3 linked regions of the Lepisosteus oculatus genome follow. The protein of the gene in region 1 interacts with the protein of each later gene in a biochemical or structural test. Links are inferred from orthologs where the notes say so. Each region holds a gene or a part of one and is shown in the gene's direction. Other genes may lie near its edges.

Region 1 (10,248 bases):
CAGGGGTGTCAGTGATTCATGTTAGAACTCTTTGATTGTGATACTCTGCCCACTTTTCACTGGTGCCTGCCTGAGGAAAGAAAAGAGAAAATCCTACAATTCATGTTTAAACCTCCAGAGAGTGCTGGCTCAGCAAACTATATACTGTTAATGGTTAGCAACATGAAAGAACTGTAAGGCTGTAAGGGTTATTAGGGCTCGGCAGTGTGGCATAGTGTGTATAGGTCTTAACTTGAAGGCTATGGGTTCAAATTTCCATTGATAAAAAATATTAATAATTCTAAGATTGATAACAATAACTCCTTACACTTATATAACACTTTTCTGGAAACTCCATTCAAAGCACTTTACAGGTAATGGGTACTCCCCTCCATCACTATCAATGTGCAACATCCATGTGAATGATGCAACAGCAGCCATAGTGCAACAGTACACTCACCACACACCAGCTATCACTGGTGAGAAGAACAGAGTGATGAAGCCAGCTCATAATTGAGATTATTATGACACTGTGATTGGTAAAGCCCAATGGGAAATTTGGCCAGGACACCAGGGTAACACCCCTACTCGTTTCGAGAAACACCCGGGGATTTTAAATGACCACAGAGAATCAGAAGTTTTACAGTATATTGTCCCCGTCACTATACTGGACCATTAGGACCAGTATTAAAACCTCAGGGTGACCACCCCCTGCTAGCCCCACTAACACCTCTTCCAGCAGCAACCTTAGTTCTTCCAAGGAGGTCTCTCATCCAGGTACTGACCAGGCTCACTCCTGCTGAGCTTCAGTGGGTTGCCAGTTGTGAGTTGCAGGGAGATATGACTGCTGGCTGTAATGCTATTCCCATGTGGTCATTGAAAATGTTATTGTATGCAAATTAGTCATAAATATTTTACAGAATTCTAAATTAACTTATAAACATTGTCAATTTTTGTACAAAAATTGAAACACTTATGTACATCACATTCTATAAACCAGAATTAATTTCCTTTTTAAATCTAAAAAGTGTGCCTTACTTCCCCTGAAGAGAAGATGGTTCGCTATACCTGTATGTGCTCTTTATTTATTTGAAGTCATAATTTGAATAAAGTCAAACACTGTTTTTAAAAGGGGTTGGAGTTTTATGGATATAATGAAGCAGAATTTACAGTTATCAGCCTATCTCCTCCTGTTTAACAGTTTATCACCTGATAAAAATGATAAAAAGAATGCATCATTCTTTGATTACTCTATAAATACAGAATGTAGTATATATGTTGCTTTAATAAATCATTGCTTTTCAGGTGTCAGATTTTATCTGTGGAGGAAAGTGCACTTTCCGAATGGGCCTAGGCATGTTCTTACTTTGATATTGTGATGTGTAAGCAAAGTGTCCAAATTCACTCCCACCTTAGACTTAAGGCATACTTTACTGTTGAGGCTTGTGCATTACTATAGATGGATTTCAGTGATAATGTGAGTTGGCATATGACATATCATACACCAAAAATGTGTACTCAGATTAGGCCCTGCCATTCTTGCCTCCAAGGCTTAGAAATTACTGTAAGACTAAATAAGGAAGGAAGGCTAATTTTTTTAGCTTTTCCTCCAACGTTTCCCTACATTAAATTATTCTCCCTATTTCTTCTCTGATGGCCTCAAGTTCACCCTAAATTTGAATATAATGTCATATTTTGAAACGTGGTCACTTAGATCACTTAGCATTCATGTTTATGTTCCAAAAAATGGCACTTCAATCTGATTTTTTGCCTGTAACGATGATCCTGGATGGAATCGTAAAGATCATCTGTGCAGAAAGTCATACTATCCAGCCAATCCTCCACTTAAATCTCTTTACAGGTAATGGGGACTCTCCTCCACTACCACCAATGCGCATGTTCCAATGTGCAATAATTTTGTTATACTTTGTTAAGTTCTGAGCATTGAATATGTCACAAGCCACAGAAGGACAGGGCTTTGGATAAAGAGTGAGAGAGTATTGGATAGTATTAGCAGCATAGAGAAAGGAGAACTCTTCCATGTACTAAAAGCACTCAAGAGTAATAAATACAAAGGGCCAAATGGTATCTTTCAAATAGTAGTCAAGGAAATGACAGAAACCACTGACGCATCTCTTCCAACAGTCTCACGCAGTCTCTTGGATACGGATACTGACCAGGGACTGGAGAATTAGAAACATGGGACTCATCCATAAAAAATGTAACTATAACTAAACCAAGTAATTACAGACATATACATACATGTAAAGAAATGGAAATTATCACAAGAACTAAACTAAATAATTACCTACATGGAATCACCTAGTGTATAACATATATGCTAGTAAATAGTCAGCATTTACTAAGTAAGTAAAAAGGAAAAGATAGGTCTTGCCTAACAAATGTGTTAGAGTTCTTTAAACAAGCAAGAACAGTAATGCATACATATAGGACTTAATACAAGGTGTATTTAGATATTTAGCTTTGTTGTAGTTAGATTTTTAGGCTTTTGATAATGTTCAACATAAATGATTAATTCTCAGATTGCAGGTGGTAGGCATTCAGGGAAACCCAACTGTTTGGATTGGGAATTGATTATTAAGTAGAAAACAAGGGGGTACAGATAAAATGTGAATAATCAATTTAGGATGATGTTATTATTGGTGTACCTCAGGGATTGGTTATCAGACCACTGTTCTTCTTAATTTATGTCAATGATCTAGATTCTACCAGTCAAATTAGGAGGATGAGCAAACATTGTAGAGGCAGAAAAAGACATTTTAAAAATACTTCAGTAAAATTCAAGAGTGGGCAGACACATAGCAAATGATGTTTAATGTCAGGTACTGCATGTGGTAGCTAGAATGTAAACTATAAATACAAAATGGGAAACAGTGAACTAGAAGAGGTACTTATGAAGAAGCCTTAGGTATTTGTATTGACAGATCACTTACATCTTCTTGGTAATATGGGAAAACAATTAAAAAGACAACTAACGTGATAGACATTTAAGTACTGTAAGTAGCTGTATCAGCATGCTTAGGCTGCAAAGGAACAAGTAAAGGTTTATTCCTGAATAAGGTTACAAGTGTTTCTTTTCTTCTCTTTTCAGCATGGAATAAATCTTTACTTGTTCCTAAAATTGTAGAATATTAAAAAGCATACAATATAAATAACAAGATGTTATGTTACTGCATGTAACACAGAACTGTGTGTCTGAACAGGGGCTCCTCAGGGGACAGTTCTTTCTCTGTTCCTCTTCACCCTCTATACTTCAGACTTTAAATACAACTCAGTTACTACTACTATTCATTGACTTCAGCTCAGCTTTTAACACTATCATTCCAGAGAAACTAGTCAAGAAACTCAGTGCACTGGGTCTCAACACCACCCTCTGCAACTGGATTCGGGACTTTCTGACAGAAAGACCTCAGGCTGTCAGGCTTGGAAACCACACCTCCTGCACACTAACTCTGAACACTGGGGTCCCCCAGGGGTGTGTGCTTAGTCCATTACTTTACTCCCTCTATACCCACTACTGTAAGGCCAAACATAACACCAACCCCATCATCAAGTTTGCTGATGACACCACAGTTGTAGGTCTGATCACAGACAATGATAAGAGGGCCTACAGGGAGGAGGTCAATCTCCTTACAACATGGTGTGAAGACAACAACCTCACCCTCAACGTCAGCAAAACCAAGGAGCTGATCGTTGATTTCATGAAACTGCAAAACGGACATGCCCCTATCCACATCAATGGGACTGAAGTGGAAAGGGTCATTAACTTCAAATTCCTTGGCATCCATATCACCGAGGACCTCATATGGTCTCTCAACGCCACCTGTCTGATCAAGAAAGCACAACAGTGCCTGTACTTCCTAAGACGGATGTCCACAGATCCTCACTAACTTTTACAGATGCACTGCAGAAAGTACACTGACAGGTTGCATCACAGTGTGGTTTGGCAACTGCAGTATTGCTGACCGCAAAGTCCTACAGCAGGTAGTGAAAACTGCCCAGTCCATCACTGGGGTTGAACTCCCATCTATACAGGACATTTATGACGGACGGTGCTTGAGGAAAGCTCTAAGCATCATCAAAGACCCCACACACCCCAGCTACAGAGTGTATTACCCTCCCATCTGGAAAACGGTATCGGAGCATTCGGGCCTGGACTACCAGACTCAGAGACAGTTTTTACCCCCGCACTATCAAACTCCCAGCCTCTCTCAAACTCACATCATCTCTCACCTATGATCTGAACCTCGCAGTGCCTTCTTTCTTACCAAAAACTCAAACACACATTGAAATCTACCTCTACCTTAGATGTTCAAAAAGCTCACTCCCCATAATTTCTATCCTTTTATTTCATTCTGTTGTTGCATGTTTTTGCACATCTGATGTTATTTTGCACATTAACTGTTACCTTTTGTTGTTTTGCACATTGGCTGTTGTTTTTGCACACTGCCTGTTGTCTCTGTCTTTCCTTCATTATACAATTGTATGGTTGTTATTTGGTAATATTTATCGTCTGAGAGCTAGCTAAATAGCATTTTGTTATACCATATACCTGTATATGAGTATAACAACAATAAACTTGAACTTGAACTTGAACTCAAAGTCATACCACCTGCAGAAGTTCTCAGATGACTCTGCAATTGTGGGATGTATCAAGGGTGGGCAGGAGGAAGATTACAGAGGACTGGTCAGCAGCTTTGTGGAGTGGTGTGGGGAGGACCACCTGCAATTGAATGTAACAAAGACCAAGGAACTGGTGGTAGATTTCAAGAGAAAAAGGGTCAAACCTACTCCTGTCTACATCCATGGGAGTGGTGTGGAGATGGTGGACTCGTACAAGTACCTGGGAGTGCACATCGACGATAGACTGGAATGGTCTAAGAACATAGAGACCACTTACAAGAAGGGTCAGAGCCGACTTTACTTCTTGAGGAGGCTCAGGTCCTTCAATGTGTGTAGTAAGATGCTACACAATGGTGAGCGCCATTTTCTATGTGGTGGTATGCTGGGGCTCTGGGATTAGAGCAGTGGATTCTAACAGGCTGAGCAAGCTCATCAGAAGAGCAAGCTCCGTCATTGGGTCTGGCCTGGACCCCCTGGAGGTAGTGGCTGACAGGAGAATGGTGTCTAAACTAGAGGCCATCATGGACAACGTCTCCCATCCCCTCTATGACTTTTTTGTAGAAATGAAGAGGATATTCAGCAATAGACTGATTCATCCATGGTGCGACAGGGAACGCTACAGGAGGTCATTCTTGCCTTCTGCCATAAGACTGTACAATGCATCCACCTTGCGTCTGGGCAGAGACAACATTGACAGTGACCTGTTTCTGGTCTGAACAGTAAACTGATACATCTGTTATTTTTTTTCTTTTCCCTTTTACAACCGTTTTTGGGCAATATATGCCAGGGACCTGTGCAATACATTTATATCTATATTTATATCATGCAAATTACTTTTTTGTATACTGTTCTGTTCTGGTTTGTTCTTTCTGTGTACTGGACTGTGAGTAACTCACTGTACTGATTGTATTGTATGTATTGTATAATTATTATTGTATCATTCGTTATACTGTTGCTGTGTTGTCTGTCTTAAGCTGCTGTTGCACTGCAATTTCCCTCATGGGATCAATAAAGTATCTATCTATATGTTATTGTTACAGCTTTAGGTGACTGAGAAGTGTCTCTTTCAAATCCTGTTTGTTAGAATGAAATGTCATATGTAAATATGTCAGTGTAATAAATAATATTTATTGAACAATATGAAATTGTATCCCATAAAGTATGCTGATTATAAGTACCAAACATTGTAATTATTTTATGAAAGTAGTTTAGGTGGGTAGCTGCGTCAGCATACTTAGGCTGCAAAGGAACAAGTAATAGGTTTATTCCATGTTAAAAAGAGAAGAAAGAAAACAAAACGTTTCGGCCATGGAGCCTTCTTCACCCTTCTTCCTCACACCTGAAGAAGGCTCCACTGCCGAAATGTTGTCTTTTATGAAAGTGTTGAATTGTGTGGTCTTTCTCAAGATAACAGGAACAATGGAAACAGTAATGGTATTGTAAATACCTCAATTAACTGTATTATATGTAAACCTCAGTATTCAAAAAAATAGTATAATCCACTACAACACTTTTTTAACTTGGAAAACTCGCTGTGTAAGTGTTTTATTATTTACCCTTTTCTTTCCACCCTATACAGAATATAATGCAACCAACAGCATATGAGCCTGCGATTAGTTGATTTTACCTTAATGTTGGTGGTTAACATTTGTTTACTGTATTTCCTAACTATAGGGTGTTGAGCACTGGGTAGTTTAACTACATTTCCCAAAACCCTTTAGTTTACAGAAAATATTTGACCGTTAAAAACTTGGATGTCTCCGCGCGGGTTTTACAGATGCATCTTGGGAATTGAAGTCTATCATCGGCTAACAACCAGGAAGCTTTGTCTAATCGAATAGAAAGACTACAAAATCGATGAGCTCATCGCTTCGTTGCGCAGACGTGGTGAAGATTTTTTAAGCTCGGTATGTGGATCTATAGGAGGGGGAAGGTCCTTGTCGGATTTTGAGGTAAAGTCGCCATTTAGTAAAAACTAGTTTGCAGAAAATAGCGTACATTGGGAGTAAAATTCTGATTATAGACTAAAATAATATTTCGCATTATGTTGATATTCATTAATAAAATGCTTGTTTTTATTTTCCTTGTTACTGAATGTTCAAGCTGAAAACGCAAACTCATTTTGGTTGTGCTGGGGGATGCGGTAATAGCGCAGCAATTTATGTAAACTTTTTTAATGTGCTTTTTCGTGTACACCCTGGCGCTCTGAGCGGAATCTGGAATGACACTGCAATAACTTTATAAGTATTTTATACTTTCATCTTTTAATTATTTAAAGTCATGGATGCGGTGCGCAGGGGGAAGTTTTAAATCACAGGGTTTTGGGAGGGTTTCAGACTCCCTGTGCTCCACATAAAGGGGCTTATCCCACCCGAACTACGCTTTAGTCAGTCTTGCTATGCTCTGCTGTGTGAAGGGAGTAGAAAGAGGTGATTTCCCAGGCCGGAGAGAGACGAGGCCTGGCGGCCGGATTGTGGCACAGAAATCGAAGGCAAGCTAATTTTTCGAATAGTTAATGATAAGTTGTTAAAAATCAGATATCGGTCATATCTCTGTCAATCTTGAGCATGGAAGGCTCCCAGTCGCTTACGTGCAAATAAAAAGGAATACGCAGATGGAGACTGGGCACTGACACTCTTGGTGCGTTAGGAAAACAAAGACACTCCTCCATGCCCTGATGTTTTACGAAATTGCTCGGGCCGACATTCGACCTGGATTCACCGTGCTCTTTAAAAACCCTAGCGACCAAGAAAACGGAAAAGCAGGAGACTCGTGAATCGGTGAAAATCCAGGTCAACCGGCGGGGAACACTCCAATGAGCCATGTAAATCGTCTAGTCCAGGTTCGTTGTGCACGCTGCAGTCAACGAGCGAAGATACTATTTTTTTTACATTTTAACTTAAACTTTTGGCAGGGTTTGGTTGGTTAAACTATATCCACGTTCAGGATGGGTTTTGTACGTTGTTAGGCTGGTTAAGCGAAGACTCGGCAGCCTTTCAATAACTCCGGATTCACATCTGAAATAGCATCTTGCGCGGTGCTCCAAGTTCAATTCTCTCCGGGGTTTTGCCGGTGTGATTGCTTTCAGACTGACAATCCGATGTGAAGAAATGTGGCTTTGACTAGGCTTTAGGTAAGCAGGTACCTCCGATATACTGCCTCCCATTAGGACGTTGTGGCAAACCTTTCCGGTACGTGAGGGATGGCAAAATAGTGATTTACTTGAATCCCGTAGAGATTAGGGGTATAATATGGTATTCAATGTAAGATTTTTTTCTTCTGTGTGTATACTGTATGCAATTTATTGTTCTTAAAATGCTTTTAATTTATGGCCTTGATTTGACACTGCATCATATAATGTCGCTTGTTTAAAGCGACATTACTTCGTTTTAGCATGTGCGTTCCGAGTGCTTACAATGAGGTTCTTAACATAAAACTATTTTTAATAATACATTTGCTTTGGCAGCCTACATTGTTTTGTGCACTAGGTTTTAAACTGTATTGGAGACAGCGTTGTGCATTGAGATAATCCTGTTTTAGGTCAGCCGTGGGTCTTGAGTAGGCCAGGCCAACCCAGCCTGGTTGGTGCCAATGCTATGCAAATGGCCTAGCGAACAGTATGAACAAACTTTTTTTTGGGTTGTCTGTGACCCAAATCTATAAACAGTCCTATGAAGAGGTTAATTTGGTGTCAGTTGTTAGTTGTAGGTTATAAAACATTTTTCTGTATTTGTTCCTTTCCATTGCAGAATCAGAACGCAAAAGGGTATTTTCCTGGCTGTTTTGAAACGTTAAATGTAACTTTAAATGATTTTCGAATTCGGTCACTTAATTATTAGTGCATCAAAGGCGATCGAGCTGACAACTTGCTCATGACGTTTTGTCCTTAATCCTTTAGCTGACAGAATTGAGGAACAGTCTCACTTCATAGCGTCTGTGTTAGTTGCTGGTTTGGCGATTTGACACTACGTTTTAAGTGTTTAAAATGAATGACGCAGTATTCAAGATGAACTCCGCATACAATGGAGTGAAAACTGTATATATATTTTTCATCATATTAATGTCTTTGTGGTTAAAATCTATATAAGAGTCCGGAAAGGGAGGAAATGAATTATGAAAGTCATACGAGGGAGTTATAGGAGTTAACTTCAGCAGCGTGATATTTATTATAGGAATTCATCAATATGAGTGGTATGGCTTCCCCATGTACAGTACTTTCAATGTAGCCAACAATGTATTGACTGAAAACCGGTTTAGTACTGTTCTACAATATGTATTTGTTATATTTATTAATAAGTGTTAAAACTGGGAAAATGCAGAGCTCTTTTTGTTCAAGAGTGAAGGTGACAGCCTAATATTATTAACAACTGTTACAGCAATTTTTTCCAAAACTATTTAGTGATGTGAGAATTCATGGACTTCATTGTACAAGATTTTTAATGGAGTATCAGTGTAATGTTCTTAGTGTCATTTAAGTGTTAAGATGGATAGAATATTTTGAAGTGGTTAACTTTTCAAAGTTGGTGTTAAATTGTAAATATTATTACCCTTCTTATTTAGTATTATTACTTAATTTAGGTGGATTTAATCTGAGCACTGAACTCTCGTTAGCCTAGGGTGGGAGATGAGCATCTTTTCTCTATTTTTTTCTTAAAATATTCATACCTGTTATTTTTAAGTATCAGATTAGATTGATTTACTGCCTGTGGGCTGCAAAAATTTGGAAACGGTTTATGTACTTAAAAACATTCTTTCTGTGGTTAAAAATTATGCATCATCATCAGCACAACGTTTTCCCTCTAGCATTGATTTTTTTTGTATTTTTGCTTTTCCACATGATTGAAATAGCACAAAAACAAACTTTCAGTACAGCTGAGAGCAAGTTGTTTATAGGGGATACTAACTTCATGCCCCATATATTGGGAAAAGCTGCAGGGTCTCATGGTAATCATAAGATAGTTGGCGACTTAAAAGATTTTAAAAAAAATCCTGTTTGCTCTCTCGGATAACTTAGTTTGCTACATGTGAGGTGTGGCAGATTGACAGTTAGAATGAAATCGCACAGAAGTATGAAATATTTTCCTAGTGAAATTGTTTAAATCACCATGTTACTCAAACTTCCAAATACTGAGAATGTGGGACAGGAAATGTCATCATGCTCATATTGGAAAACAATACTTTGTATATAACCATGGCTGGAGTGTTTCGGTTCTTCATGTTGACTGTTGACCCATTTTCTGTGTACTTGTATATTGTAAGCAGGGAAAATGTAGCAATATTGTGTGTACTTTTAACATTGAAGTAACATCTTAAGTAACTTGAAGCATGTTCCTGTACAAGTTAAGATTTAGTAACATTAGCATGTAGTTGGAGATTGTGAGCGTTGTGGACACATAGTCCAAGAACCTCTCTTTACTATTGCTGAAGGGTTAAATCCAGGATATTCATACTAATTTCCAAGGACATCTTTGAGTGAAAAGAACATGACAACCAAATGAATAGAGCATGTTAACACTTAAGGAAAATGAAAATGTAAGTTTGGGTGTGCAGTTATTTTTTTTTCTTTTGCAGTTCAAGTCTGTGAGGATCAAGCTTTGGATTACACCTGGTTTTTGCTACAGAGAC
Region 2 (10,024 bases), on another chromosome or scaffold:
CACTAAACTTTTTAGCTGTGTGCACAATTAATAGTGTTCTGCTGAATGCTTACTCATAAGGACCCTTTTAGAAAGGCTCTAGGGTTGTGATTATTCAGTTATCAAGCAAGAAGTTAATGAAATCTATGGGCTTGTTCTGGTAATTTTGGTACCTGGGATCACAGGCATAAGTGTGAGAACCATAAGAAAGTACTCAGAAATTCCTTCCAGGGATTTGTGATGGAAGTTTTTTTTTATGATTTGATCAAATCAAAAACACATCTTCCCTAACTGAGAAGACTTCAGGGTGTATTGGTGTTTGACTTAGTGTGTTCTGAATTACAGCTGCCCAGTCATTAAAGGTATCTTTTTTTTTTTCTTTTCCTTCCCCTCATTCCAGAACGCAGCCTGCGTAATGCTGGAATTTGAAACCCTTTCCTAAATTACCTTTCCCAAAGTACCGTCGACTGAACAGGATCCGCAAAGAGCCTGGTCCTGATCTTGGAAGGAGAAGGGAAGCACATTGTATCAGGTGAGCAAGGGCTTCTTGTTTTAGTTTTCAGAAGGGAAATCAATACATTCGGAAGGGTATCCCGGATACTAGTACCTGCTTTGCTGTGACCGCTACACATTACACACTTTTGAGCGTTGGGCCCATCTAGCCCATTCGGAGGTTGGTAGCTAATTGATCAAGGATCTCATCCAGCTGTCTTGAAGGAAGGCAACGTATCGGCCTGGCTGGGTAGTATGTTACCTACTCCCACAACCCTTTGGGTAAAGAGATTGGGCATCGCTGGAGTTAAGCTACTGGTACGTTGGGTCGCCAACTATGTTGGAAGATATTTGAATGCTATGGATGTCACAGCTGTCAGGCTGTGTGTCTTGCTACCACTTTATTCAGCCAAATTTTGCCCCCCAAAAAAGAGCTGTGGACGGAAGTGTTCTCGTGAGATGTTAAGGCTCTGAACCTGCCGTCCCGGGCGATTTCTGCAGGCAGTAGAGTGTTCCTCACCCTGACTCCTCTGGGGCTTCCTGTGTGGCGGTCTGGCACTCTTTTAGAAGGGAAGCGATTTCGGATTCTGCCGCCGCCACCCCCTCTCAAAACCATCCTTTGGGAATCCCTTCCCATGGTAGGCTTTCAAGGAGGTGTGGCTGCTACTCTCGTTAGTCCCGAAATCCATTTGTGCCCACGTGAAGCCGGGATATTCGGATATGGAAATTAGCCTTTTTTCCCCAGAACCGACCCCAACAGAAGACGGGCAATTTGCTTCCCCACCCCCTCCTCCTTCTTTTGTTCGTCCTCGGCTCCTCCTCTCATGTCCATATGCGCAGTGGGGCCATCTGTCTCCCCACGCAGGGTCCCAGTGTTCCCGCAGGGTTTCAGCGTATCTGCAAATGAGAAGCTGCTTGTGGCCTGAGGGTTTTGTCTTCAGATGGGCTGGAAAACTGGCTCCTGACCCAGGGCTTCTGCGTTTTCTTTTAGACCTTTAGATCAGATCGCTTTATTGGCCAGATGCAATTTCTTGCATGGGGAATTTGTTTTTTCGCAGACCCCAACCTGCTCTCCATGAGACACGCAGACGGGGAGAGAGAAGCTTGGGGTCAGAGCGCAGGGCCAGCCGTTTATACGGCGCCCTGGAGAAGCTGGGGTGAAGGGCCTTGCTCGGGGGCCCAACGGAGTAGGATTCAAACCGGCAACCTTCCAGCCACAGGCGCAGATCCTTAGCCACAGTGCCACCGCTCCGCCCCATAACCCGTTCCCTTCCCCTCCCCCACGCTCAGACCTGTTTACTCATTGGGGTCGTCGCTCTGAAAACATCCGCTGTGTGGTATTTCAGAACCCAGGCATACTCGTCCAGAGGGACTTGAATTAAGGTACCTGGGATCTCGGAGGACATTTCTGCCAGCGTCCCCTGATGTATGCAGGTGCTAAATTTCCCCCCCTGTATGTGATGGGGGGGGTATGTATGTGTGCTCGCAGAGGAAATGCATACCACTGATGGGTGAAAGATGGCACCGATTACAAAATGGTGCAGATCCCCGAGACAGAGCTCTGAATCTAAGGGGAACTTTTGAGTAGGAACTCGATGCAGGCTAAAGCCTTACCCTCTGAGCTGTGCTAATCCAGACCCTGTGATGTCCTTGACGTTATTTTAATGCACGCAACAGAGCACAAGGTAACCACGGCCTCTGGTATTCCAGCCCTCCATCATCTCATTAGTTGACTGGAATTGGCGTGCACGTATTTCATTCCTGCACAAATCAGCCGGTTCGTCCTGCGCCTATTCTTAGTGCTCCCAGTGGGCTCGTGCTTGGGGGTCTTTTGGGTTGTGCGGGGTGGTGATGAGCTTATTTGAAGGGCTTTATTAGCCACAGCACATAACAGCTGACAGAATTACTCCCGGGGGCCAGACACGTGTGGGACCAGCTGTTGCAACCAACCCTCTGAACACACCAGGCGGCCAAATCCCGGTTTGTGCTGGTTGAACAGAAAGAGGGTGATGTGTTAAAACAGACGAGCCTGCATTTAGAGGAGTCCACAGACGTTTTTTGGAAGTTTCCTTTCCTTAAAACAAAAGCTGCGAGTAGTTCCTGTGGGTAGGAGAACACTCCTAAGTGAGCAGTTTCATTTTTAACGCTGTTGGATTGCGCACAAAGCTGAAAGAGATGTCTGTGCACGTTTGTGTGAAGCAGCTGCTGAGCATCCATTCCAGTCCGCTAAAGCATTGGCGAATTAGCGACGTGCTCGCATTCCTCGAGTTGCTATTAAAAGAGGCAACAAGAACCGCACGTTTACTGTCAGGGCCTGCGAGAGACTGCGAACAGGCAGGGCAGCAGAAGGCGCGTTTCGGCGCCGACGGGGTGCCGGGAGAGCTGGAAATGGCGGAGGGGAAGTGGGCGTGACGTCACGGGCGAGAGGACCCGGATATTTTCCTGCGCGCGGCTCGTGTGGCACGGGACTGCCGGAAGTGGGGGGTGTCGGGCTTGGCAGGAAGTCGAGATCGGGGGGGAAGCGAGGAGGCACTCGGGCTTACTGGCCCACTACCTACCCTGATGCGGTGAAGTCTTTTATTTAAACACCAGATGGCGGTGACTCTTGCGCGCTTTGTCAGGCCGAGGCGGACGAAGTCGGGCAGCGATGGTCACGTGTCTTTCCGCAATCGCCGCGCTGCGTAGCGGGAGAGCCGTGCGTGGAGACCGTGGTTCCTATGGCAACGCCGCTATGGCGGACACGGCGGCCTGTTCTGCAGCTCTGGCGACGCGCCCTTGTGTCTGGCCGTGGGCTCATGAACAGCCATTCATCGGCCGCGGGTTAGCCTCAGGGTTATGGCTCCGTATTTTTGGGAGAAATGTTTTTTTTTTTTTGAGAGCGTGTTGCATAGTAGTCCCGAAGCGCTTATCGCGTTGAACATGGACACCGACTGAATGGTGTCTTTCCGGTAGAGAGAGATTTGGTCACATCACTTTTTATTGGGATAGAAGAGTGCTTTTCGGCACTTATAAACGGCTTTTAAAAACATTGCGCGTCGGCAGATATTCGCTTTTTGATTTTGTTCCATCCCTCAGGAAGGTTTTATGTTCCTTTGCTACTTTAAACGTTAAGCCTTTTTATTAAGGTTAATAAATCGGAACAGCATGACCACCTCTTAAAACGCGTTTTTGATAAACGTGGAGGGAACATTTAAAACCAAAAACGTGCGAGATTTAAAAAAAAAATCAATGCACACACGAGTTTTGTCACCTTCACCCATCATTTGAAGTTACAGCACCATTCAGCGGAAATGTGCAATAATTCATTTTCCAATTTCATAAGATGACACCTTACGTATTCACTTTTGGAACACACGGGGGCAGCAGTTACTTTAAAGTGGGTTTGAAACGAGTCGTGTCAGCTTGAGCAATTACTGCATTCAATAAAAGCAATCAGCTTAATCTCCTTCTTACATTCGAGAAGCTGTTTCTTCAGTTAATACGTACTGGGGGGAAGCCTCTTATCATTGTTGGGTTTAAGGTGTGATACTCTTTCTAACACTGTTTTCTCTTTACACTCAGAGGCTATCCTGGAGCTCAGCTGGCTGGCGTGAAGTTGGCGTGTGCTCTCCGTGTGCTGCCCGGAGCTGCCCCGCGTGCCCCGCCAGCTGCCCAGAGCAGCTCTCATGCGATGACTGTTTTACAGGTCACGCAGACTTGGCTACGAATCCACGGACTGGAATATCACTGATGGGCGCTCTTTTTAAAAAAAAAACGAAAAGCGGTGGAAAAAAATATTGTGATTTAAAAAAATATATATTTAATAAAAGTATTTGAGTATCGGTGCCGTCCTCTTTCTCTTACCAAGGTTCGGAGTTGTGTGTTCCGAGCTGCTGTTGTATGTTTTTCTTCCAGGTACAGTTACCGTCTACAGAGCAGTACTCGGGTGTAGCTTAAGGGTGGTTGTACTGTGCAGGGGAGAAGTGAATACTTGGAACTATGCACTTAGATTTGAATGTACTTTTCGTGACTGCTCCTGTTCAGACCTTTCAGATTGGGTGCTCATTCACGAAGGCTCCAGCACTACGAGTACCTGCCTTCCTGCCTTCAATAAATGCATGTCTAGTTTCTGGAATTGATGGAGTTTGCATCCCCGTTGCTTCCAGATTCTTTTTAATCCTTTGGGAATAGTGTCTATAAACACTACTGTCGGCTGTGTATTCCGGACACTCTAGTTGCTATGAAACGAGCTCTGTGCGATTGTGATGTTGTGATTGTTTCCCCACTGTGGCCGAAAAAGAGTGGTGAATGTGGCTCCGTACTTGAAACCAGAAGACCGGGTTCGTATTGCAGGTGGGACACGGGTGTCATACCCCTGAGCAAGAGGGTTTGTTCAGATTGCCCCGGTTACGTGCCCAGTTGTTTAAACTGGTGCCAATGCATGTTACCTCAGATAAATTGTGCCGTAATTGATCAATCTTAAGAGCAGTATAGCCCAGCTTCCTCCCGTGTTAAGTGGGAGCACCTGCACATATTAGGCAAGCTCCAAAGCTCCTCTATTTGGTTGTCAGCAGTCGTTTTTACTATACTGATATTGATTCCAAATCAGCTGGGTCTGTTGGAGCGGTGTGGCGTAAGGCACCTTATTTAACAGTAGCAGCAGTGTCCCAACCTGGGTCTTGAGTCCCTTCCACTCTGGGGCTGAGGGCCTTTAGGTGCCCCGTTTTATCCTTCTGGAAAAGCACTAATGCTCGAGAGTCCGGTACATTGATAGTCCGACCAAAATAAGGAGGGGGGTGGGGGATTTCGGTGTTTCTGTTGGCCTTTCTCATTGGACACTCAGTAGCAGGTCTAGATGCGGGGGGGCCTAGAAACTTTGTGGGTCCTAATGCCCCAGGGTAGTGAAGGGGATGCTACAGTGTAAAAAAAACATAAAACCAAGGTCCTGACTGGTTATTAGGGATCCCAGGACATTTATCAGAAAGAGTAGGGCTGTTGACCCCAGTGTCCTGGCCAAATTCCCCCCTGGTCTTTACAAATCATAGCCACCTAATAATCCCCAATTATGACCTGGCTTCATCACACTCCCACCTGATTGCTGATCCTGCTGGTGCACTCTGTCTGCCGTTGCATCCATAAAAGTGCTATATAAATGTGTAAGAAATCATCATACCAAGGCCTTATGCGACAACCCAGGATCAGCACTCCCCAGACATTGGAAGTGAGGACGAAGACCAACAGTGAAGAAGGTTCTCGCTCCTGTCGAGGCCTGCCCGGCTATCGTCATCACAATGTCTAGTTCCAGAATTGCGGGTAACCAAATTGCAGAGCTAAAAATAGCTTATTTTTCAGACTGCATACTGTATTGCAGAAGAAACTAGAAGCTCGACTGGAAAAAATGAAAGCTTATGTGCTTGCCTGTTAAGACAATTTGTATTTTATAACTTAGCACATGATCAGCAGAAACAAATTACTGCGCTCGTGTTTTAGGAGACATACTCTCGTGTTACATTGTCCATTGACACGGGTTTCCTACAGCTGTTGGCTTTGCATAAGAGAGACAGTGAAAGTAAGATGCGTTAAAACAGCCTATTCCACGTTACCAATCAACAATGGTGATAACGTAGTCGCACAATCAATAAAACAAAATTACGAGCGTGTTCATTTCTCAATAGCAGATCATTCGTGATATACTGCAGTAGGCTGCTCATGTCCTATGAAGACTGTTCACAGCCAGCTGTAGAAAGATACACAGAAAGGCGATTGCATGTTTTCTCACATACCATGTCTCTATATTAAAATACATGACAGTTTTGTTTGACCTCTTCTGTGTTACGCTCAGTTATAACCCCCCCACATGTTGCTCGGCTGCTCAGACTGCACAGTGTTAAGTGTCGGCTCGCACTGGAAGGGGCGGCGCTCTTCAGCGCTTCGACAGCAGCCTCAGTCTTCACCGTGTCACGTTTTTTGTCGAACGATACAGGTTTTGGGGGTGACCGTTTCATGACAGCGTGTTATGGATCACGGGGGGTCTTTCGGGGGGAGGAGGGGGGCTGCGACGCTCTCGCGCACTCGGGGGGTCCGCACGCGCACAGAGAGTGGAAGAGGGAAAGAAAGGGGGGGTTGGAGCAAGGAGACCTGGGAAAAAAATAGCAAGGAGAGGGAGGGGGGAGGTGTGTCCTTCCCTCTCATTCACCGGTCTGCTGTGCAGCGGAGGAAGAGGGCTGGCGAACTCGGGAGCTGGTCCGTCCTGTACCCCTGAGCGGCGCTGCGCCAGACCCCCGCCCGGCTCTCGCCGTGAGCAGCAGCAGCAGCAGGGTGTGAGCGGACAGCCGGACAGCACCCATGCGCTAGGACCGGAACCATGGAAGATGCAGGGTGAGTTTTGCCTCGCCGCTGTGCCCCTGCGTGCGCCGGGACTGAGACCCCTCTGCCCCTGCCTTCAGCCCCCTCGAATCTGTGCGCTGCCATCGCGTTTGTTTGTTTGTTTTTTTTTTGGGGGGGGCAGCATTTCTGCCGTCTTCCGCTCCTCGGCGAGGCGGTGCTGTACAGGCATGCAGCAGCAGCAGCAGGTGGGGGTGTACCGGTACCTCCCAACGTTTCGCTCGGACACGTGATGAGGTGTTACCGTGTAGCCGAGCCCAGTGATAACTGTCCCAGGACCACGCACAGCCCCGGTCGGAAACGTACGGCTGGCCACCGCAACTGCTTGCAGTCGACACCTCCTGCCTGAGCGGGAGGTGTTGATCTTTTTTTTCGACCCTGTGCAAATCCGAAAGAAAGATTTGGATTGTTTACAGGCGGCACGGCAGGATGTCGTGCTCAAGTTTAGTGGCGAGCCCGACCAAACTAGAACGGGTGATTTTTCTTTTTCGCCAGGTGTGCCTGTACATTACCTGTGTTTTGACGCGCAGAATTATTGGTTAGGAAACGTTAAAAAGGAGTAGATAAGGCACGGTTATTAAAAACGTCAAATTGACTATTTTTATCACGAGTTACATCGCTTATACATTTTCAATATGGAGATCACGTGAAAAACACGAGCTTCGCTTTTGCCGTTTTAAGAAGGATGAATATTCACGGTATGAGCGCTTGTAACGCCGGTGTTCCTGATGCTTCTCCAGTGTGACATTTCGACAAGGGCTCATGCCAGACCTGAGATCTGTGACCTTTCCGTCTGCAGTACTGGATGAAATTATACAAGGTTTACATTTTTAAAGTTTACTGGGAAACCCTTGCAATTCAGACTTTATTTCTCTTTAAAGCTGGCTGAAAAAACCTATATCCATTATTCCCACATCGCAGAAATGATTGTATACTTTTCCATTGAGAAGAAAATCTTGCCTGTTGTAGTCAAGTGTTCTCTTTCCCCTCTTCATGACGCAAAGGACTCTGGTAGTAGTTCTTCATTTGAAAGCATTTCGGGTATCACATTTGCCCTCTTGCAACAGTACCCATTAAAGCGAATTCACTGGTACCTTTAATTGTGTATGGGACATAAGGAGTCTTGTGATGGACTGGCCTCTGTCCTGCCTTGGACCCGTTGCATGCTGGGATAGGTTCCAGCTTCCCTGCGATCCTGGATTGAATGAGTCTGTTAGAACATGGATGGACGGACATAGGGAGTTTTGTTCTTAACTGAGTAGTTTTTGAGAAAGCTTTGAAACTGAGGTTTTTTTCCCTTCCTCTTCAGTTGCAGCTGTCTTTGCAAAGATACTCCAACTAAGGCAGTAAACATAGGATCAGCCTTTTGTTATTTCATGTACAAATTCCTAAAACCTTAAAGTGGCTTAATTTCCCTTGCATTGAAGTTTGTTAGGCCCTGCTGTGGTCAGTTTGTGAACTCCTGCTGTCTTTGACAATCAGCACTCATTTCAGTCTTGAAAGTTACAATTGAAAGTAGATGAGATACTTTTGTAATAGCTGTGTTGGTGTTTGTTAGCCATTGAGAAGCTTTTTAGAATTTCTGAAGGGGGTACTTAAACCTGGTGTTTTACAGGTGGCAGAGTAGATTGAGTAAGTAAGCTATTGACCTGAATTTACTGTTCATGTCAGGGCCAGGCTGGGTCAAAAGTGAATTCTGCAGTCCACTGTGGGAGTCTTGTATGAGACCATATGACACCATTACTGTCATATGCTTTGGGGTCAGGGTTTGGAACGTAATAAGTACAGTATTGAGTGCGTAGTGGCTCTCCCCTTTGCAATATAGCACTATACAGTCACTATTGGGCTGGGCGGTAAGCATGGGATGGGTCTTGGAACTGTGGATGAACCCAGATGTTTAGCCAGAAGGAATGTCCACCTCTTACCCTTTCTGAGTAGACAATTATGTATGCTTCACTAGGGAAACCGGACTCGTGCCAAACAGAAAAAGAAGAAAAAAATTAACTCATTGCAAAACAGGCTGCTCTAAAAGTGCTCTTCACTGATCTGTAATTTTGTTTACTGGTAGTTTAATGTCCAGCAGTAAGGAAATCAGTTGTTAGCGATCGGCAGCGAATAGGAAAAGAAATAATACTGTGATTTAAGGTGGTAATTGTTCAGGAATCTTCATTTGGAAAGAGAAAGAGATTTCTCTTTTGAGTTCTCTAATCTGCGGCTCTGTTTTAAGTCATTCAGCAGAGCGAATATAAGGAGTGATGTGAAAATGAGCAAGATGCAGCATGTGTTTTTCCAGGAGATGGGGGATCTTTTACATTGATCTGCTGGTTATGAGGAAAAAGAGGGCTGTGTTAGGGTCTTAAAGACCTCTGGGGCAATCCTTCTACAAGTAAAATGAGTGACAGCACTTCTGAGATGTCAAACTTTGTCTACAGCAAGACAGGTTGTGTATGTGCTTCAGTCTCAGGGATGAGAATGAAGTTGGATGAATGCGTAAATAACTTTTTTTTGGTTAAAAAATTCAAGTAAAGCATGGAGAATGAGACGGCTTTTTTTGACAGCTTTCTTCTTTTTTTTGTTTTGCACTGTAAGTCCTACAGCTGCAGAAGATTTGATCTTGCAGGCAGTCCGGTCGGGTTGTTGCTAACGGGTGACATAGTTTGAATCACAACCTTTTCTTCCTCCGATAAATAATGTGTGGCAGTTTGGACGTATGCCTGAGTAAACTAACGAGAAGACCAAGGGGAGACAAGTGCAAATTAGCATGAAGTGCTTTGAAAACTGCGGCTCTGTCTCTCCCAGAGAGCCGTGGGAGTGAGGAAGGAGGCGCACAGCCACATGGCTGTAGCCGATGCCTTGGCCTCTTCTGCGCAACAGCTGGATGAGATCCTGTCACCAGTTAGACGGGCCAAATGGCCTCCTCTCGCTTCTCATCTTCCTCTTCTTTGCTGTAGACCACCCCGGTTGTTTTTAGCACGCCTGATTTGTCTACTTGACGGTCGAGTTTTTCACGCCTGGGCTCGTACGGGGGGAGGAGGAGGAAGGACAGGCGGACTCCAGACTTGCAGGCGCTCCTCTGTAACGGGCGGCCGTGCTGCCCTGTCCTGAGGGAGAGGCGCTTCCGTCGCCTGCTGCACCTCAAGCCTGCAAGCCCCCGGGACGCCACAGGGGGCGCCACCTGGGCAGACAGGGC
Region 3 (9,794 bases), on another chromosome or scaffold:
ATGCATTATAAAATGAGGTTGAGTCTTGAATGGTTTCACCAAGAGTGTGAAACTGTAGTGGTATTACAGGAAAGTGAAAAGAATGTGAAATAGAATCTCTTCTTCAGGACAATTGCACTGAATTCCAGCTCCTTTTCCCTAGACCCTATTCCCAGCGGTATGGTGGCTGTTTGCCAATACTGTATTAGTATAGCAGAAATCTAGGAATGTTCTGCACATCATATTTCAATTTATGCCTGAGGCACCTAGATCCACATCTATTTGTTAGGAATTTCAATCATGTAACCTGCTTCCTCAAGAGAAAGGGCAAGCACTTTTTAACAGTTAATGGGTTAGTTATGGGTACATACTCCTGTAAATAAACCAAATAAGACCTACTGTATATATCATTGTTTCTTAGTAAGATAGTAAACCACTTAGCTAATTAATTCATTTGCATAGTTTAGAGATAATGGGTTGCATCAACAAATGCTTTTAAAGGGACAAAAACAACAGGATCTTTGTTATTGGCAGAGTTGGAGCTTGCAGGAAAAACCTCCTGTTGGTGAACTGTGTTAACTACAGAAAAAATAACTACAAAAACGTCTGTAAAGTCATGGACAGTAAACTGAGCAGCTGTACAAAGGCAAGTCAAAAAAGAACAAGGCTGAGAGAATTAGAAAGTAATTTGGATAAGGGGATCACATGAATACAAAACAGATTTTATAAGTACTGCATACATTAAAACTTGTAAAAAAGAACACCAAAAAATTTGTAAAGGATACAGTAACAATACATTTATTGTAGAAAATTTGAAGATCAAAGGGAAAAATGTTGTCTGGATATTTTACATATGTATTCCCTACAGAAACGACCAGCACCAAAATCATGTGATTTTGCATGTTATACTGTAGTTCATTTATGCCACAACCATTTATGGCGCTTAGCCTTCTGAAATATAACCACCCCAAGACAATGCCAAAACATATGCAGAAAGGAGTCCATTGTGTCCCCTAGACAAAGTTTACACAAGGCACTAACTTCATATAATAGCATCACATGAGAGGTCAAGTATTCTCTGTGAGGAACATTTGCTATAAGTGAACAAGTTGGATGACAAAAATACAGTACAGTGTCCCAGGAAATGTCTAGAACATTCAAATCACTATTCCAAACAGTAACATCTGGTAAGAGGTTATGTAAAAAGAAACAGATTAAGCCAATACTTCTGTTTCACCTCTAAAACGCCAGCAGATTATGCATTGGTTTTTCAGATAAACCAACCCTCATGAAGGACCACGGCACATGTTGAAGAAGTGAGACTCAAATTAAACAAGATGACCCATTAGTTTATAATGAGATTGGAAATCGTGGACTGAGCAAAAGGCCATCTTAATTAAAAATATCTGCTGGAATGTGCAGTCCTGAATTTTAAGTGTGCAAGAGAAAGAGAATTATCTACTGTATACAGAATCTATTATAATAGAGTAACATTTTTTCTTCAGTTTCTGGGAATGAGAACAGAGATCCTCTACCTAATTTTCTCTTTCTACAGGTGCTGGTGCTGTGTAGGTTCACTGGTTTGTGATCAGACTAAACTATCAGCATCTGAAAACAGTATTTCCTAACAGACTTTATAGTGTTGCCAGTTCGACAGAATTAAGAGCACCTGTTTTTTAGAAGTGTTACTTTCATGCGAGTGAGATTTGACAGGGAGCCCAGAGTGCTGGTTTAGTGATAAACGTTTTCAAATTCTGAAAATTATTTTCCAGGAATAAATAGCATGAAGGTAACACCCTATAAAGAAGAGGTGATTTGAAAATACATAACGGAAAAGTACAGAATGTTTTATTTTTTGTTTGGTTTTTAAATCACAAAAAACTGTAGACTTGAACATTACAGAGAGGAAAATAATACAAGTACTAGAGGAACTCAAATTTAACAAAACGCAGTGGTGATCTAATCACAACTAACTGTAGATTTAACAATGGCAAATTTTACTTAAAGAACTAATGAAGTATTGAAGACTGTACTCGGGATTAAAAGATTATTAATATTGTAATATTATTATAAGGGGCAGAAACCTTTAAAAAAAGCTAATCAAACATTACTAAATCACTATATTCTCTGAACAATTATATGGTAAATTTACATTTCCTTAAAGCTTCCAGAATGTTCTACTTAAAAGATACAACTCTAAGGTGGTTTGTTGGAAATTAAAACATTTGGCTACGGTCCATTATGCAACAGCATGGTAAGCTTTTCTGTGTAATGGAACCCTTTAAAGGCTGCGTCTAAAAATTGGGTTTACATTTTTATAAAACCAGATTAAGAATGAATGAGGCAAAGTTTGCAGGCAGTGAATTGGAAACAGATGGACTGAGAGACAACAGAAAAAAGAGTGGGGAGCTGTATCAGTGTGTGAACTGTAAGGTTAATTCCATGTTGAAAATATATGGGAAGAAGATCAAACAAAACCGAAGAAAAATCCAAACTGTAGTTCTAACCTTGGTTTTCTTCTTTCAAACCTTTCAGTTTGAAAACCTGTACTTGTGCCTGCTATACAATGAGGATGGTCGTACTTCAAAAAGATAATGTAAAGGTTTTCAACAAATTCATCCCTAAAACTAATAACTGTAATTAAGCAGTGGCATATCACAGGGATCCATTTTAGACCATCTGTTCAGTTTTCAGATTAGAATGAGATATATAATGTGAAAAACTAGGACCCCTTAAGGTTTTATAAAATTACAAAAGGTTTAATATATTTAGACATATTTGACCCTCACCTAGTCCTCACCAAATCCTAATAGCAGATAAAATGCACCTCAGCTGACAAATAGCACAAACAAATTCTACTTTGTCATTGTTTATTTAAACAATGAAACAGCATTCGATATGTTTGTGTGAAAATGTAAGTTCTACCACCGCAATAAACAGGTGGAATAAAACATGTACGAATGATTAGTTGATCATTAAGATGTGATTTTGCCCATATAGAAAATCATACACATTCTCAGTTTAGTAGTAAGCACTCAGGTTAGTGGTAACACATTGTGCGCAGAACAAAATAAACCAGTGACAGTGTCTTAGAGAAAGAACTGTTGCTGCTTAACAGCCTGCGAAGGGTTACAATGCCATTTCCAAACACTGGGAAGTCCATCTTTCTAGAAAGATAATCCAGAAATTTCGAAAATTCAAGACTGATGCCAATCTACCCAGGAGTTGCTGCCCTGTCGAATTTTATTAAAGATCTGACCTACAGTATGATGCTCCCAAAAGTCTAAAAAGAACCCTAAGGTTTCATTCTACTGGCCTCTCTCGCTATGGTAAATGAGAGAGATCATGAGTCCACCATTAGGACAAGACAGAATAACACTGGCTTACATGGAAGGACCAAGAAAGTCAAGAGGAAACCCCTGCTCTCCAAGGAGAACACTGCTGCGTGGCCAAAGTTTGTGAAACAGCACCCGCCTGAATAACAAGACTTCTGGAACAAAGTGCTCAGGAAAGGTGAGTCAAAACTGGTTTATCAGGTGGGTGAACACAACGGCAGCAGTTAGGCAGAAGGCTGGGATTGTTTGAAGATTTTTGATTTTGAGAGCAAACTTTGGTTTCAAACAAAAGGAGGCCGGTCAGCCCATTTAGCTCATTTGGGAGTTAAGAACTGATTTATCCAAACATCTTATATAGCCATTCCTTGAAATAAAGATGGGAGTCAGCTACTTGTTCGTATTTCTTGCAAATGATGAGACTCGGAACTGGTGCATCATGGACTTGTAGATCAAAGCTGTGGAATGGTGTCTGATGTAAGGACCTCCCAGAGCCATAAATTGTTACATTGTTGTTTGGTACTAGATGTTAATAATGTATTTGGAATCTATGTATTATGTAATACTATTGTGTAGTCCATGTTCTTCCCACATGAGTCTGTAGATTTTATTCCCCAATCTCATAATGGACACAGACTTGATACATACTGTATGTGTACAACGAATGACAATTCACAAGACACCACAGTGCCCCACCCTCAGAAAACCCCCTTTCTCCATGTTAATAGCAGTTAAACATCCCTGGAAGGCTAACTCCTTCTCCGGGAAAAGGTTGTCAAATTATCACATAAAAAACAGGGAAAATTACATGAATCCACTGAAAACATATTTAGCCTAGAACATTCTAAAATGTTCTGATAGAAAAAAGCTCCCAAGCATAAAGAAATGAAAACAAGTATACATTAGATTCAAACTCGTTTATACCAAACTGCTTTATACCATATGGTAATAATAATAATAATAATAATAATAATAATAATAATAATAATAGTTTGGCAATGGGTGGCACATTGATGCAGTGGGTGGCATTGTTGCCTCGCTATGCTTGGGCCCCTGGCTCACTTCCAGACCTTGGGTGCTATGAGTAGAGTTTATGTTTTACCCATGTTTGCGTGGGTTTCTTCTCATAGTCTAAAATGTAAACATACCTTTTAGGTTCATTGGCTTCTGGGAATCCGAAGCTGTGATTGTGTATGTCTGTATTTGTGTTTCTGTTTGACCTGTGATGGAGTGATGTCTTGTTCAGGGGCTACCCAGCCTTGTGTCCAGTGCATGGTGGGATGGGTACCATCTCCCTTGCGACCCTACACTGGAAGAGGCAGTTAGAGAATGGATGGATGCTTTGGCAATTGTCAAGAGTCATGGCAATTGTCATACATTAATATACAATTCCGGTAAATTACTTATTCTGAGTATTTAAAGGAACAATCTATTCATTAAGGCGTATTCCTGTTAAATCACAGGTGACTCGCACATAACTTCAAGGAAAATTATTAATTCGGTCACATATAAATTCGCCTTGATTCCACTTCATATAAGAAGCATTAAACATGTTTTGGCAAAACGCATTATGCCATACTTAATTGAACTTAATACTTTAATATTTAAATATTTATGACAAGGAACTAAGCCTAATGTAAAATTCAATTTTTTAAAACAATTTAAAATAGTCCAAACACATGTATATTGTCTTCAAATGGGTCACACCTCCCTAAATTACGGACAGTATGGTGTACGGAGAACGAAGTAGCGTGGACACGGCGCTGGCAAAGGTAGGATGATATTTAATTGCTGTGACTCAGTGATCACTCAACAACCGATGGCACTGCCGTCTTTCTAAATCACTGAATGAAGGAGGAGGTATCAAAGCAAGGGGCGCACACAGGATGTTTTGATTTGACTGACTGTAGTAGTGACCAATCAGCAAGGGTTCATTTTTAATTTTGCCCAATAGAAAACCACTATGTGCACAGACCAAAATAATATATTCGATTTCTTCGGGAGGATAGCTTCTACCATCAATGTTGTGGCTGGAAATAGCTCCTCATGGCCAGAGCATAGCTCGCAGATTGTTTAACGTTGGAAGTACCGGCTGTTAGAAACTAAAGGGTATAAAACGTACAGGGTGATTTGTTGTAATTTTTCATGCTAGGTATCCATCTGACAGCTTTCCTAGTTGAAAGGGTAATAATAAGTTTGCATGCCTTGCGTTATTTGACATGAAGGAAAAATAATTCTGGACAATTTGGACCCTCCAAAAAAGCGATTCATTAACAATTGAACGAATTAGTGCTGCATTGTCATTCGCCTGTCATTTTGCCACACACAAGATGGCCGCCCTCCGGCTCTTCCTGTGAGCGCCGCCAGGAACGTGGTGGGCGGGGTGTGTGCAGCTAGTGGCAAAGTTTGGGAATGATAGTAGGACCTGTGAAAGATTGCAAGTGAGGGAAGTGGCGTTGCGGGTCTGCTTTGAAATTTGAACGTTATTTTTTATTTCCAAGAATACTAAACATCACAGGCCTGAGGTTCGATACACTGTCTGCACAGCGCGGCCTTTTCAACAGCAGCTGTAGTCATGTCCGAGGACCTGAGCTCTCTACCTTGGTCCATCAACAAAGATGATTATGAGCTACAAGAGGTGATTGGTGAGTAAATCGTCAAAGCTAGTGCTGCCAGTGCCTTTCCTGCAATTATAGTGACGCGTCGAACAATTCATCTCTTTTGTTAACAGCTGCAGTACTATTAGCAGCTCCCTAAGGAAACGATAATAGCGACTACCGATGGCTAACGTTGACAGACAGGGAAGGGCTGTATTTGCCGTGACTGTAACTAGGAAGTCTTTGCTGTATTGCAGTAAACAGTGCATCGCATTTGTGAGCTGCGTGGCCATTCATTGTGTTGCGTCGGAGAATGTGTTGAAGTTACACGCCTCCCTTCAGTGTGTTGCGGTGCGGCTCAGTTGCGCCCTCGCCGCCGCCGGCGGGGCTGAGCTGCGGGTCCAGCCACAGGGGTCGCGGGCTGTCACTGTGTCAAAGTGGGTGGTGCTCCGTGCAAACACGCCGCCGGAGCCCCAGGCCCCAGGCTCGACTATACATCGCCCGGGCGGCTGGAGTTGGTCGACTTCTCCTTGTCTTGTGACATTTCTATGTGAAAGGACATTATCGACGGAACTGCGGGCATACACACCGAGACTGAACCCGTTTAGACATAACCCCTCACGCATACTCGTCTGTCGCCTCTGTAGTTTTACGCTGTATTTTTGTGTCCTCGGCTTGTATCTTTTAAGATTGCGAAGGTTTATTTTTAACCTGAGATAATTGTCATTGCTCATTTCTTCTTTTCAAAGTTGTGTCTGGCTTCCCAGTAAATGCGTCGATGGACAAATTATTTTTCGGCGGACAAGGATAGTTAAGCAAGTTAAACAGTACTGCAACTTTTCCGCCTAGTATTTTAACACCAGTGTCGTTTTCTATCCCTGAGTACTAACCTCGAGTGAGGGAGGATATTGTAAATGAAACATCAAGTGTATATTATAACATGTTGACAACTGTAGTTGGAATGTCAAGCTTTTTACTTCATAAACTGATCATAACATTTAATTTGTACTCCCGTCTTTCAAATGCTGTTCATCCACTCAGTACGATACGAAACCTCTCGTTTTCGTCTAATCGGAGATTTAGGGGGTATTTTTCTGGCATAATTGTGATTTTCATTAGAAAATGTCAAAGTGGTAATGCAGAAATTGAGCAACATGCCTTTTATGCAGTAGGTATTTCAATTGGCGATGTTTAAAATTCAGGCTTTTATTCAAAGCGGCTTCATTTGTGTCTACGTATACGTTTTGCTAAAGCAAGCTGCTTTTTCAAAGGTACAAAAACAATGCCACGCCTGCGATTTGAACCCACAACCTGCCAGTTAGGTGCACAGAATCAAGTTAAAATTCCGGTCTAAATACGCATTCAGAGATCGCGGACTACAGATGTGTTTTCACCGTTTTCCCAACGTGCGCCTTGGATAGTGTTTGGGGTCTCCACCTCCTTTTCGGTGTTGTAGGCGACAGCTCATCTCCACACCCTTTTTTTTGTATAGCACCATTACAAGGACATTTGGTGTTAACTTACTGTAACTGCAAGTTCACATGGGGCATAGGGCACTAATGCATTTAACTACATTTGTGAGTTTTTTTTAAACTTTTTCTTTGTTTTGAGCTGGTTACTCCTTGCTTTTAAACAGCATATCTCAATGTTATGCTGTTCAGTCGTTCTGCTCTGTCACTGACAGTGTCTTGCAGTTCTTGAACCTTTACTGATTTTTTTTTTAAAACGTACAGGCCCTGAACAAACCCGGCCCTTTGTAAAGAAGGGTGTTTTGTATTCCGTCCACTTCACCTCCAATGATATGATAAAAGGCTACCATTGTTGTGTTGAAACTGATCTTTGAGATTTGAATACCATAATTGTGGCTGAAGCTTAAATAAAAAATGGGGTGCAAACAGAAGCTGAGAGAGAATGATTTAGCCCAATGGATGTTATGTTCAAAAGAATATGCAATTTATCTTGTAGATTTAGTGTTTGCAGTCTGTTTTCCTTGTTACATTCCCCTAACTTCCCCATTTTTCTCATTGTATCATTCTATCAGCCTTCCTGTAGGTTAGTAGGTCTGCCAGTCTGTGGACGTCTTCTGATGCCCTTTTTGTCTTGCTTACTGTACCATCTCGGTCATGAACCCGATGAGCATATCTTGTCAAGAAATAAAATAAAATAAATAGTTGTATCCTGATATTAAACTTTTTGGTTGATAAGAGACACCGTGCAAGAATATCTTGCACATGCTTCAAGTGCAGTGCCAAGAACACAGCAATATGTTTGAGTTCTGAATGGAGTATTGCTATTGTGACCTTCAGAAATGTACTTCATTCCTATTGCTTCACTACAATGCCCAGCTATATAAATGGGTACAAACAGGATTGTGGCTAAAAAGTAAGGCAAGTTATTAATGTTATTAAAAAAAATACTTTTAAAGTTTCTCTGTTGTAGTCTAAACAGTGATGAATGCTGTTCTCTGCTTTATTGTGCACGTGCATTATCTAAAGAATGCACATATCCTCTAACAGTACAGTATAAGCTATATTATTGGTCAGATGGAAAATTATTCAAATATTTGTACGGTAAAAGTAGAATAGAGTATGTGGAAATTAACATTGACACATTTTTATGCTGCAAAGGAACAAGTAATTGGTTTATTCCGTCTTTTTTTAGCATGGAATAAACCTATTACTTGTTCCTTTGCAGCTTACGCATGCTGACGCAGCTACTCACCTGAATTACATTTTTATTTTGGCAGTCTTGCCCAACAACGATCTATTCATAGGTGTTTCTGACAAAAATAGGAGCTATCAAAGCGGCTAAAATAAGGAAACTACTGAATTGTCAGTTGGTAAATTACAAGAAATTTCTGAGTAAATGTGTGAGGTCACCTTGACCTTTGACCCAATATGGCTGACAAACTAAGATCTTCCGAAAGTGCTGGTTTTCAGTATATTGATAGCGTTGATCAATTTTATGAACATATCTTATTTGTTAGTCTGTGATGAGGTAACCTGTTTTGTAATAATTCATGTAAAAATAAGTGACGGCTAACCACTAGTTAAGTATGTTTCATCTCATTTATAGCAAGTTTACTTTTTTAAATTTTAGATGAGCAAACTTCAGTGGTGAAACCAGTTAATTTCAAATTTACCAAGCTGGTGATTTCTTGCATTAAATAATGGATTCCTTCACAATATCTAACAAATCTGTTTCCTTTAAAGGGCCATGTCGAAACAGGTTATTTGGAAAAAAATGTCATCTAACCTCAAGCATTGCGATAACATGGTTATGGTCCAATGATTGCAGATACGCTGTTTGTAATGTAAACTAAGTGGTGGTGTTTTAGTATTTCTGGCAGTTATTTCCATAATGTTGAAAACCGAAAACAAAATAACTATGCTTTTATAAAAAAACTTGGTGAAGCCATTCCTTTGTTAGGAGCCATATTAATTTTTTTTTTACAAATTATAAAGAATCCATAATACTTAAATACTGCCATAACACAAAAACTCAGGTGACAGGTAATAAAGAATTCCCCCACCTTTTCAATTTTCTGAATGTTTGACTGTATCCAAGGAGCCATTAGGCACAGTTTTTGTTCCGTAAAGTAATTGATGTCACTCTCTTTTGTATCTGTGAATACCTGTACAATTCATAGAAGGAATCTAAGAATATCCCTAAACTTTGGACTGCAGTGTTTGCTTTTATGACTGAGGGATTGTATTCACCAGGGTAATCACTCTGGGAATCGCTCAGGAAGATCTGACTGGCTGTCGAAAGACTACAAGGCAGTGTGTTCCTTCTCTGTCCATTAAAAAGCTCTGCTTTATTCATCACTCCTGCTGAAACTGGTTTGGATTTATTTGTGACATTGCTTAGTAAATCTATGACTCGT

What was found.
Region 2: of the proteins of wnk1b (region 1) and klhl3, one has a biochemical effect on the other in vitro, tested with the Homo sapiens proteins (2 studies listed by BioGRID). The link is inferred for Lepisosteus oculatus from reciprocal best matches to the Homo sapiens genes WNK1 and KLHL3.
Region 3: of the proteins of wnk1b (region 1) and oxsr1b, one has a biochemical effect on the other in vitro, tested with the Homo sapiens proteins (2 studies listed by BioGRID and IntAct, with this or other methods). The link is inferred for Lepisosteus oculatus from reciprocal best matches to the Homo sapiens genes WNK1 and OXSR1.

Annotation. Positions count from the first base shown.
Region 1 is NC_090702.1:10,339,198-10,349,445, reverse strand, and holds the start of wnk1b (serine/threonine-protein kinase WNK1), read left to right. Parts: upstream 1-6,509; 5' UTR 6,510-6,575; intron 6,576-6,690; exon of another isoform or gene 6,691-7,465; intron 7,466-7,523; exon of another isoform or gene 7,524-7,756; intron 7,757-10,194; 5' UTR 10,195-10,248. UniProt on the Homo sapiens protein: Serine/threonine-protein kinase component of the WNK1-SPAK/OSR1 kinase cascade, which acts as a key regulator of blood pressure and regulatory volume increase by promoting ion influx.
Region 2 is NC_090706.1:38,766,815-38,776,838, forward strand, and holds the start of klhl3 (kelch-like protein 3), read left to right. Parts: upstream 1-5,642; 5' UTR 5,643-5,763; intron 5,764-6,597; exon of another isoform or gene 6,598-6,661; 5' UTR 6,662-6,814; coding exon 6,815-6,828; intron 6,829-10,024. UniProt on the Homo sapiens protein: Substrate-specific adapter of a BCR (BTB-CUL3-RBX1) E3 ubiquitin ligase complex that acts as a regulator of ion transport in the distal nephron.
Region 3 is NC_090701.1:34,902,171-34,911,964, forward strand, and holds the start of oxsr1b (serine/threonine-protein kinase OSR1b), read left to right. Parts: upstream 1-5,309; 5' UTR 5,310-5,886; coding exon 5,887-5,956; intron 5,957-9,794. UniProt on the Homo sapiens protein: Effector serine/threonine-protein kinase component of the WNK-SPAK/OSR1 kinase cascade, which is involved in various processes, such as ion transport, response to hypertonic stress and blood pressure.